3 linked regions of the Coturnix japonica genome follow. The protein of the gene in region 1 purifies or fractionates together with the protein of each later gene. This does not show direct contact. Links are inferred from orthologs where the notes say so. Each region holds a gene or a part of one and is shown on either strand. Other genes may lie near its edges.

Region 1 (3,650 bases):
GTGCTTCACTGCTGCTTCTAGCGTAGGTAGTTGCTAAATTATCTGCTGTAGCTACTAAGACAGTGAGATTTGGTGTGTGTGCTAATGGGGTAAAGTCCCTACTGCATCACTTATTGTGAATCCTGGGCTCACATTCTGCCCAAATCCTTTAAACGTGCATAAAATATTTGTCGGCGTTCTCCATTATTCAGATTGAGCAGAGCTGCTTCTATACTTCAGAGGGTTGTTGAAGATGAAATTGATTGTGGGTCTTAGCTAGTGCTGTCACATTTTAATTACATTCCGTTTTTGAGTTCTGTTGGTGTTTCTCACATCACAAAAGACGCTGAATGGGATGATAGTACAACCTTTTTCAGAAAAGGAGTGCTTTCTTATTTTAACACAGGAGGCATAATTTGTTCAATGCTATTTGCTTTTCCTTTTGAAGCTGCTGCAATGATAATGGTAGCGTGTAATTTAATTTTAATTATGGAAATATCTTGATGCCCTTAAATCTTGTTATCTGACTGCCTTTAAGAAGCATGCAGTGCGTGGTTTGACCACTAGCTGGCAAACAAATTGCAGTTATATAGAACAAAGCTGCCCTCCTTTTGTGGGTTTATAAAATACTATGCTAATTAAGTCAGAGTATTAACTTATTCTGAAATGCTATTTTTGTTTGCAGTATACACAAATTACTGTAATTGTTTCCTTTGCAATCATTGATTTTTAAGGAAAGAAAAAAAAAATCCTTCGTGTATTAAGTACATGAAACTAAACGTAAGCTTATGATAAGGTGGACTGCCATCCAAAAATAGCAATGCATCTTTGTGGTTCCAGGTTTGACTCTGAGGGACAGCTTCTGGAATGTGCCTCCATCTCTGATGTGAGAGGTGGGTCAGCGTCAGGGGTAGCTACCAACTGGAAAACCTTGTTTGAAGCCAAATCAGAGAGGTTGGGACAAGGAGATAAGGTAAGGCATGGCAGCTGACTGCAAGCCTTGTGTGTTTGAGGGGGGCGGGAAGGAAACCTTGGTGTTCTGCTTATTGGGAGAGTCCAGTTGTTGGGCTGTGTGCTTATTCTGTAAACAAGAAAAACCAAACAAACCAATGCACTGAATCCAAGTCCTTTGCTGATGTTGCAACATGATCCTATGTGTACGAGAGATTTCTAAGTCTTGGATAAATAGTGCCAAATAGACCACCCCAAAGATGCTAATATAAATAACACAAAGTGTTGTAGGGCAAACAGGTGCGTTTCTAGGAAGGGTTTTCAAGGCAGCCTTGCTCAATAGAAAATCTAGACCCAGGTCTGCAGTTTTCTAGCCTGGTAGCCTTCTTAGGCTTGAAATGCTTCTTGACTTGTTCCAATACGTTTTTAAAAGCATATAATTGTGGTTTTTTTCCAAAATGTTAGCACTAAGCCATTCAGGATAGAGAAAAACTTTGATCTAGATAAAGAACTTCCACAGGAAACAGCTGAATTACCAGTGCCTTTCTTGCATGTGGTTCTTAACCCCTGTTCATCTGCTGAAAGACTTGACTGTGGTCTTAAACCATTAGGGTGATGATTTTAGTGTGGTGAGTGGGTATTTTGTTCTGTGGGCTATAGTTTAATCAAACACTTATCTGTAATACTACACAGTAGGCTTTCTGGTTTTTGTACTGACTCCTAAAAGAAGCATAGGAAAGTGCAGAATCTTAATCTTGTGAAAAAAGCAGAGATTTGAACAGACACAATGGAGAAACAAATGTGCTTTATCTGAAGAAAACCTAGCAATCGGAGTTCCCTGCAATGGAAACACAGAATAATCTTGCTCTAGGGGCTTTATTTAACATAATGGAAGCCTGGAAATGATTGCGACAGGGGTTGATTTACAGTTTTCCAATAATCCATAGCTGTTAAGCTTTCTAATCCTAAATATCCAAGTATGGACGCCTTGCTTTGTAGTTAATTCAGAATTGGAAAACACTGAGTATTTTGAGGCTAATGTTGCACACTCACTCTCCTAGGCGGATTATTTTAGCTGTGTGGGCACAATAGTACATCTGCGGAAAGAGAACTGCATGTACCAGGCCTGTCCCTCTCAGGATTGCAATAAGAAAGTGATAGACCAACAGAATGGACTGTATCGTTGCGAGAAGTGCGATCGTGAATTCCCCAACTTCAAGTACCGCTTGATGCTGCTGGTAAGTGAGCTGATGAGGGCAGGCAGGGCTTCTCCCTGCTCTCCCTGGGCAGTGCAGATAGAAGTCTTTTGATGGAACAGGGTGTTAGGCTGCTGTGTTCTCCAGAGGTGCCTGTGGGTTAGAGGGTATTGAGGTGACTCGTGTCTGTACCTGGGTGAGGAATGTTTCATTGAGCTGATAAGCAGTTTGTTTTCCTAGCTCTCCAATTAAAAGCTTTTCTCTTTGCCAAAAAGTTGATGCTAGCTCAGTTGATTCTGGTTTCCAAGTGTACTATGCAGTGCAGAGTACAGATGGCCTACGCCTCTTCAGTAGTGAAGATAAACTGAAGTAAAATGGCATTTCTGGAGAGCAGTAATTGCACTTTTACAGCTGCTACCTATATTTAGTACATTTTCTTTTGTAGGTATTGTTCTGTCTCAAGCTTTAATGGAGCTTGCTTCGAAAGGCAGTGAGGATTATTATTGTGATGCCTGCTTACCCCATAAGCATTGAACCTTCTTCTGTTTTTACACTGTACATTTGTGTTGTATCTGCTTCTTAGAAATGCTGTGCCAGGTGGGCATGCAGAGAGAACTATCCCTGCAGTCTCACTAAAACACAAACTGCTTCTGAATAATTTCTAGCAGATAACTTCTAGGAATACACAAACTACTTAATGTAGCAGAGTCACTCTCCTAGAATATAAAAGGGATACTGAGGTTACAATCAAGGCCTTCGGAACAGTTTGTCTCCTATTTTTGCATTCCTAATTGTCAAAGCAGCCTCACAGATGAGGCTGGTACTTGATCTGTTTATTGCTCTGTCTTGTCCTTGAACGTTTTGATAGTTGTCTCGTAACGTAGCATCACATGTATTTATGCCCGAGTTCTAAATAAATGCAGGTCTCAATCTTGCTGGTGTCACCCTTGGTTGTTACTGTTCTGGGCTACCTGTTCATACTCATAGCTCATCAATGATAGAGGAAAAGGAGCTGAATGTCTATCGGTGCTTATTGCAGTGATCTTGTTGGCCTCTTCTTGTGACACAACATGCTGACAATATTAACGTGCTTTAAACAACTCTGACATTCTGTTGAGCTCTTTTGAAAAGCAAAATAATAAGTAATTGTCTTCCACCCTCAGTGATGGGAAGTGCACAGGGTTCTTGAGCTGTGAAACAAATACTACTTTTATCTGTTGCTCATAGAAGTCAGTGCAACTGGATGGAATTTCTTGTTCCTTGTTTTTATTATTGTTGTATTTTTTAGGTGACCATTGCAGACTCTCTAGATTACCAGTGGGTGACTTGTTTCCAGGAGTCAGCAGAATTCATTCTTGGGCAAAGCGCTACTTTCCTGGGAGAGCTGAAGGAAAAGGTCAGTCATTTACCTTATTACATTCGTAGTAAATGCTGAGAAGTGGGTCTGTGTTTTACACACCTTGCTGTTGAACAGACCTCTGAGATCCTCCTGGTAAGGAACTATTCCTGTGGTGTTGAACCAGA
Region 2 (3,750 bases), about 2.2 Mb from region 1:
AATGCACCACAAATCGTAAGCTGTAGCAGAGCTGGATGGTGATTAAGCCTGAAGAAATCTGCTCTGCAGTCATGCATAGAACTTTTCATGAAAAACAGCTGTTCAGGAGGTTCATCAGCTGTGCAAACGTGCTCTTCATTAGCTGGATGTTTGGGTGGTTTGGTTCTTCTTAATTACCATGGCTTCTTGCAATGAGCAGGCTCCAAGTGTTTCTGCTTTGGAGGTTACCCAGCAGCATGGGGAGCATATGACCAGAACACCCAAGGTCTAACAGAGCTTTACCTATGATTTTATCAGAGGCATTGCATGCGAGTGCGAAGCGTGTTGTTTTGGAATAGATTTCCATTGTTCTTCTCAAAGCTTGCTGGGCTCCATCTGTCATGCTGAGAAAGAAAAGGAGTTAGGACAGATTTTATCCATCACTGACTTAAAGCTGCAGCTTAGTGACTATTTGTATACAAGCTTTAGAGTTTACTGATATTGAACAGTGCTTTGTAAATTACCTGGTATTTCTGATTGGCAAGCCTCATATTTTAGCCGGCACATGAACCAATCACTTCATAGTAGAGCCAGTTATTGAGTCATCCATAAAGTTAACATATAAAATCAAATCACCAGTGGTATTAAGAGTACTGTTAAGAATGCTGCTATTTATATGCAGGAGGAAAAGAGTCATCTCATACTGTCCAAGACAGCAGAATAGATAGAAAACATTGCACAAAGCAGCTGGGGTCAAGAAAAAAAAGCAATGTACCTGTCTGCTTCATCGAGGATGATGATTTTGTGCCGACCTTTTGGAAGTGTGACCTTCTGCTGAGCAAACATTTTGATTTTGTTCCTCACAACATCGATGCCTCTGGAATAATAATTGAAGTCATTAATGATCAGTTAGGGTGAAATTCCATAAAGGCTTTCATTCAGCAGCCACAAAATAACAATGGATACTTGCTTCTTCATTAAGCTTGATAAGGCTTATTCCTTCTCACCTGTCATTTGAGGCATTCAGCTCCAAAACAGCATCTTTTAACGCAGGGCCAAGCAGAGCACGAGCCAAGCAGAGGATGCTGGTGGTTTTTCCTGTTCCAGGTGGACCCTGGAAATACAATTGCTCATGAGTGCAATGCCATTTCCTAACCTGCACTCTCTACAACAATCCCCACTCATGTAAAATACAAGTGACCTGAGCTCAGGATCCTGCTCCAGCAGCAATAAAGCACTAGATATGCTTCAATAGGCACCCAAGGGCCAAATTAGTTTGCAGTATTTCAGTAACAGAAGGTTGTTTACTTGCTGTGCCTTTAGCTGAATATACTGCCCTGTAAACATAACATCTCCTTCAGTGGTACCACAGTACAAATCTATCCTGGTCATGCCTGGGTCTCTGGACTGGGATTAACACAGCGAAATGCCACAGCAATACTCACCGCAATGATAATATTTGGGACATTCCCTTCTTTTGCAAAGACCTAAGAAAGAATAAGAGCAACAAGACAAGTAGGTAAGAAAATGGTGGGAACAAAGTTTGCAGTTCTATTCCATTTTGACCTCGAGAAAGAGATGCCATTTTTTCCCTCCTGCTTTCCTTTCTTTTTTCTTAATCTTGCTGCTTTCATGCATTTTTCCAGTTAACAAGTCCCAAAATTACTACAAATTACAGCCTTTTTGCGTTGTATTTAAGCTGGGTCCAATTTGCACAGCACCCCAAGTATAGAAGGCGCATTTATTTCGAATACTGATCAAATTTGTCCCAAAACTTGTAATTTTTGAAGGAAATCAGTTAGTTTCTTGTCCAAATATCCAGAGACTGATGTGGAAATGCAGAATTGCTGTTTCTGCTCTGGATGTGGATGCAAAATGGCATCTCTTATCTCACCCATGAACAAACAAGCAGCCACACACCTCCAGCCTGCTGACTGTATCTTCATTTCCAACTACTTCACATAGTTTCAGGGGTCTGTATTTTTCCACCCTGTGGAAATAAAACCCAAACACTAAGATGTTTAAACATCTTAGTTTAAACTTTAATAGTGCCTTACACTGCTGGAAAAGGAGATTATATGGAGCATTAAGACAACATGGGACAAAAATAACATGAGATGTCCTTAATGTAAACACTGCGGGGTTGCCAATAGCAGCTCTAATGGTCTTATTTATTTTATTGTTGTTGTTTATTAATGGTCTTAAAGTTATTTTATTGTCGCTGTTATATAGAAGGAAATGGTGGAACCCTGCACAGCCTGAGGTTACATACCCACCTTCCCGCCAACGGCACGCCCCGCCCCCTCTCTCACGCCATAGGCCAATCCACGCTAAGCCCCGCCCCCCAATCGCGTTCCCCACCAATAGCCGCACAGCTCGTCCTTTATTCCCGCCCCCGGATCCATGTCCCTCAGCACAGCGCGGCCGGCCCGCGTTGTGTGCAGACGGAGCGGTTCGCTTCTCGGCTCTCACCAGGGCATCTCGTAATGGCTGCTGGCGGTAGGAGCGGACCCCAGCGTGTCGGTGGGTCCCCGCTTCTCAGCAGCCGCAGGTCCGGCCTTGTCGTCCTCCACGATCTCCACTTCCTCCTCCATTGCGGCGGCTGCAGGATAGGCCTCGTTTTCCCACCGCCTCCTGGAGGGGCGGTCGCGCTGTAGGCCCGCCTCAAGGGGCGGGGGGTGTAGGCCGGAGGTGGGGCCTGTTCGGGTTTGAGGGTGGATTTGTGTGGTCAGCAGGTTTTACACGGCTGCTTGAGATAACTATGGATTAACCCCATCTTCCTTAAAGCAGGAAAGGAAATAAAGTCGTAATTATGTGATACGGTGAGACAGGGTTATTGTCTTTATTTCCACAGCTTTCACACACAGTATCACAGTCTTGTGCGAGTTGGAAGGGACCTTAGAGATCATCGAGTCCAACCCCTGGGATTCGAGCCTCCTGTGTAGCAGAGCGGCACTTCTACCACTTTCAGACTGTTTGTAACACAAATACCGCATGAATCCATCGCTGTGTAAAGTTCAGGCTCACTACGTTGCTCTTTTCCTTTAGATTTAACTGCAGTGTTCAGCAGGAGCCAAGGTGAGGCAGTATAATGTTGCAGCTGCATAGAGCACTACTGGTTGTAAAAGCCTGTCAGTACAGCACACGAGTCATGCTTTGATTTCTTGCCAAATTAAACAGTTGTTATGCTCTTAGGAAGTACCAGCCACTGGATAAGATATAATTTTCCTGGCCAGTGTTAATTCTCCCACTATACGTGCAGGGTTACTGCTGATAAGCGCCCAAAGGGCTGGTTGAAAGGCTATTTGTGAGAACTGGTGCAGAGTGCTCGATGACAGATTTTGTGATGTGTTTCTATGCAGAGCAGCCTTCCAAAGCACTGCACTGTCTGCGTTGGCAGTGACTCCTTATGTATCCTCAGTGATTCTGTGGCTTATAGCACAGGTATTTATTATCATTATGATTATATTAGTACAGTATATGGATAGACATACCTCAGCTGAAAGCTTTGACGACCACCTGTCCCAGATTGTGAACCGTTGGTACTGAAACCCTGAGATCACAGGATACATCCAGGATAAACTGAGTTGCATCTCCTCATCTCATCTGCAGTCAGGAACTTGTACTCTAATCCCTGCAGGGAAACCAAATCTCAGTGCAAGAGTTTTTTGTCAGGGAGTTGATAAAATGCAGAAGTTGTGGTAAAGAATTGCTGTTTTGCATGCTATGGCTGGTGGCAAGCAAAGCAGTTTTGTTTTGAGTTTGAGCAAG
Region 3 (3,750 bases), on another chromosome or scaffold:
GCAGACATCACTGTACTGAGGATTCACTCAAGTGCACTTGAAATCACAGTAACCTTAATTACCACATCACAGCCATGCACCAAGTTTATCAAGGAAAGAAACACTAAGTCCAAAAATACCTGTGAGCATCTAGTTTAGGTATCGATCTTTTAACTGCTTTCCGTGCAGCTGCAGAAGAATCCTTTGTTTCTGACTGCTGGTTTCCATCCAGATCTAACCAAGAAAATCACACACTGTAAGCATACAGCACAAATGGCTCACTCACTTTTTGATTCAGGCTAATACTCATACATTTGACTGCAATGGATACGGCACCACAATCCATCCCAGCAGTAATTACTATCACACTGATTTCTTGTTTAAGACTTTGCCAGTCTAAACATCAGACACCCAGGAGTTAGAACTCTAATTTTCGTACATCAAGAATTACGTACTTCCTGCTCCCTTGTTCCACACACAGAACATTCCATATACAATTGATAGAAAGTAACTTGAACTTTATTTTTTGCTTTCTGTCTTTGTCTTAAGATAGAAAACCAACAACCAAACTCCTACCATCTCCCTGGAATGCTGGCAGTCTTGTGTGCATGCATGCAAACATTCCCATGGCATCTACAAAGGTAAACTCACTGCACAAGTATGGATCAAGAACAACTTAACTGCTTTTTTTACTCTTGGATTATTTTTACTGAGTAAGCACAACACATTGAAGTAGAACTCCAACAAAGCTGATCTCTCAGCATTTCATTCTATACTGAAAAATCTCCAGGGTTCACAGGGTTCTCACCTCCATTAGCTTGAGCCCATTCAACATCAGCTCTTCCTGGAGACGCAGGAGGTGGGAGGGGTGGAAATGTTTCATCTTCTGTATTCTCATAATCAGGGAGATCAAACAAGTTGTTCTCCAGAGGATCTATCATGGCCACAGATTAACTTTTCTTCCTCCTCCTGTGGGAAACAAAGAGCAGATGAGAGAACTGGGATGGGGAACTCCAAAATTCCACAGTGGAGATGTGGTCAGGGGACACAGTGGGGGTGAGTTGGGATTTGGGGGGTCTTGGAAGTCTTTTCCAACCTTAACGAGCCTATGAAATATCAGAAGCATTTAAAAAGAATGCAAAAACCAACAAACCTGCCACAGAAACAAACATCAGCTACGTGAGACCCAGCCCTTCCACAGGAAGCTCTGCCAAACAGCACGTTACATAAATTAAGCAGCAGATACTATGCAGAAGGATGACACAACCCAGTATTGCCGAGCCAAGTAAATTATGGGCTTCTCACACTTGGTTACCTGGGAGTGGTGGCTGTGGGTCGTTGTAAGAACACAAGCACACAACAAAAGCATTTCAGACTAAGTGCTTTTCAAGCCAGCTGTTATCCACACAAACTAACAACTTTAGTCTCCTGAGCTGCGGGTCCCCCAACCTACAGCTTATCCCTTCAACCCACAGGCCAGGGCCGAGGTCTCTCAGGCTCATGACGGCCCCAGCTCCTCACATCCCCGCTCACCAGGCTGAGGGCTGTTGTATCTCTCCACAGCCGGGCTCACACACAGCTCGCCCCGACAGGAGCCCGCCACGACGCCCAGAGCCGCACCCTGAGGCCCCGCTCCCCTCACACCTCCAGCCCTGACGGTTTTCCCCTTCCTACCGCCTTAAGGAGCTTCTCTCCTGCTTTCAGAGCGCTGGGAGCTCCGGACGAAGACACCAAATACCGCTCAAATACCACACAAATACCACACAGCACAACACCGCACAGCACCGCACAGACACCGCCGAGCTGAGGAGGCTCCCCCGGCCGGCCGGGCTAATGCGCATGCGCAGCTGCTGCGCTCCGCCGCTGTTGGCGCCAAGTCCGTTGGGCGGAGCTGCGTGTAGCGCCGGTAACACTGAGCGGGTTGAATTAACACCGGAGTCAGAGGTTCGAATCCCCCCTGTGGCGCGAGTGGTAGAAGTGCCGCTCTGCAGCACAGACGCTCGAATCCCGGGGGTTGGACTCGATGATCTCTGAGGTCCCTTCCAACCCACACGGGACTGTGATACTATGATACACGCGTTTCCCTTCAGCCCGAGTGATTTTACCCGCGTTTAAAACGCGTATTTCTAAATAGATGAGCATCTCTTGCAGTCAGCACCACATAACGTTGTGCTGAGAGCGGTAATCGCTTGATATCCCAAATGTATTTAACAACAAGTCATGGTTTATCTTACTTTGGTCGTACTGTTTCCAAGCTCAGCTCCCGGTGCTGGCACGGCGTCGGTCCGCCTTCCCCTCCCTCACTGCGCATGCTCCCGCTGGCCGCGCTTGCGCTTCCTTGTGGCCGGTGATTGTGCGCATGCGCAGTTCCGGGGCAGGGCGCACTTGGATCCCGTGCAGTTATTTTCCGCCGTGCTGTGCGCGCTCCGCTCTGTGTGGTTCCGCTCGGTTCCGCTCGGTACCGGCTGTGTTAACGGCTGTACCGAGCCGGAGCGGCGGCGTCGTGTCCTCGGCTCCTTGTGGTGGAGGCGGCCTCACGCTCGTTGTGCGCTGAGGGGCGGCCCCGAAGTTTTGCTTCATCTCGGGAAGTCGGTCGGACCTGGCCCAAACGGGGCCGCGACCGGGGGGGAACATGCCCAAAAAGAAGCCGGGTCCGATCCAGCTGAACCCCGCTCCGGATGGATCCGCCGTCAACGGGACCAGCTCTGCAGAGTGAGTGCAGCCCGGGCTGTTCGCTGAGGGGCCGGGCGGGGCCGCTCCAGCACGGGCTGCTGAGGGGCTGCAGCTCCGCCGGGGGCCCGGTTCGGCACAACCCGGTTCCAGCGTTGTACCGGTGGTTCCGGGCCGGGACCCCTCGGGCTGAGCTGCAGCGGGGCGGGTACGTGAGGTGAACCCTGCGCCTGTGTCTGTAATGGGGTCTGTTACGTTGTTAGGTTATATAATTCCACAACGAAGGCCAAATTCTGCGCTTCTAACAGTGTATTTCATAGATGTGTATGGGAGAAATGTCATCAGGAGTCACAGATCTGTAGGGAAAGTGTGGGCTTCTTTTTTCTTTCTTTGGCTTTAAGATAAACCAGCGCTAATCTGAGTCAATCTGTCGGTAATTAGCACGTAAAGCTGGCTATGCCAAGGGGTGTGTTGGGTGAAAACGGCTTTGAGCTTTCCTGGCTGTAGCGTAGGTGAGCGCTGTGTGCTGTCAGAGAGGATGTGGGGTCTGAGGGAGCAGCCGGTGTGTTTTGTGCAGGGGAAGGGGGCAGCGAATGCCGAGTTGTTCCATTTGCTCGCAGTGCTGCTGGGTCTGCGTTACCGTGGGGCCTTAGTTTTGCAGGTGGTGTCAGAGCTGCGTAACATTCGTTACAAAAGGAGTTTCCATCAGGTTGGTAGATCTGTATTCATCACTTAGTTTATAAGCAGAGGTGATGGACTTCCTGGTGACGGAGGTGCGAGCTGTGGGTGTGTGTGTGTAAGGATGGATTCCTTCCCCTGTATGGTTCGCTCCTTGGATACCCGAGCTGCGCTCTGATGTGCTTATGTTCTGCTGTCAGGGAACACAGCGCAGAATTGCAGCGAGATGTGCACGTCTCAAGCTGAAAGTGTTCCACGTGTGCTGCTGTTGTTGCCACATTTTCAAGCAGGCTCAGATCTCACTCATCCACCTGATGGTCACAGAATACACTCAGTATCTTGCAGCTCCAGCTGTGGCACTTCTAGCGAAGTCTTTTGATGGTGAGCTGAAGGATGAGCTCTTCAATATGGCAGGGACTCACA

Evidence for each region.
Region 2: the proteins of RPA1 (region 1) and RFC2 purify together in Homo sapiens (affinity purification with mass spectrometry, with the first as the bait; 3 studies listed by BioGRID). This does not show direct contact. The link is inferred for Coturnix japonica from reciprocal best matches to the Homo sapiens genes RPA1 and RFC2.
Region 3: the proteins of RPA1 (region 1) and TIPIN purify together in Homo sapiens (affinity purification with western blotting; 4 studies listed by BioGRID and IntAct, with this or other methods). This does not show direct contact. The link is inferred for Coturnix japonica from reciprocal best matches to the Homo sapiens genes RPA1 and TIPIN.

What each region holds. Positions count from the first base shown.
Region 1 is NC_029534.1:4,228,621-4,232,270, forward strand, and holds part of RPA1 (replication protein A 70 kDa DNA-binding subunit), read left to right. Parts: intron 1-819; coding exon 820-952; intron 953-1,991; coding exon 1,992-2,168; intron 2,169-3,414; coding exon 3,415-3,522; intron 3,523-3,650. UniProt on the Homo sapiens protein: As part of the heterotrimeric replication protein A complex (RPA/RP-A), binds and stabilizes single-stranded DNA intermediates that form during DNA replication or upon DNA stress.
Region 2 is NC_029534.1:2,018,129-2,021,878, reverse strand, and holds the start of RFC2 (replication factor C subunit 2), read right to left. Parts: upstream 2,650-3,750; 5' UTR 2,574-2,649; coding exon 2,452-2,573; intron 1,970-2,451; coding exon 1,900-1,969; intron 1,467-1,899; coding exon 1,425-1,466; intron 1,094-1,424; coding exon 987-1,093; intron 857-986; coding exon 755-856; intron 384-754; coding exon 283-383; intron 1-282.
Region 3 is NC_029525.1:16,738,623-16,742,372, forward strand, and holds the start of TIPIN (TIMELESS-interacting protein), read right to left. Parts: upstream 2,330-3,750; 5' UTR 2,214-2,329; intron 1,770-2,213; exon of another isoform or gene 1,617-1,769; intron 1,187-1,616; exon of another isoform or gene 1,133-1,186; intron 949-1,132; 5' UTR 921-948; coding exon 788-920; intron 214-787; coding exon 120-213; intron 1-119. Other genes in the region: MAP2K1 (dual specificity mitogen-activated protein kinase kinase 1), read left to right, coding at 2,612-2,691.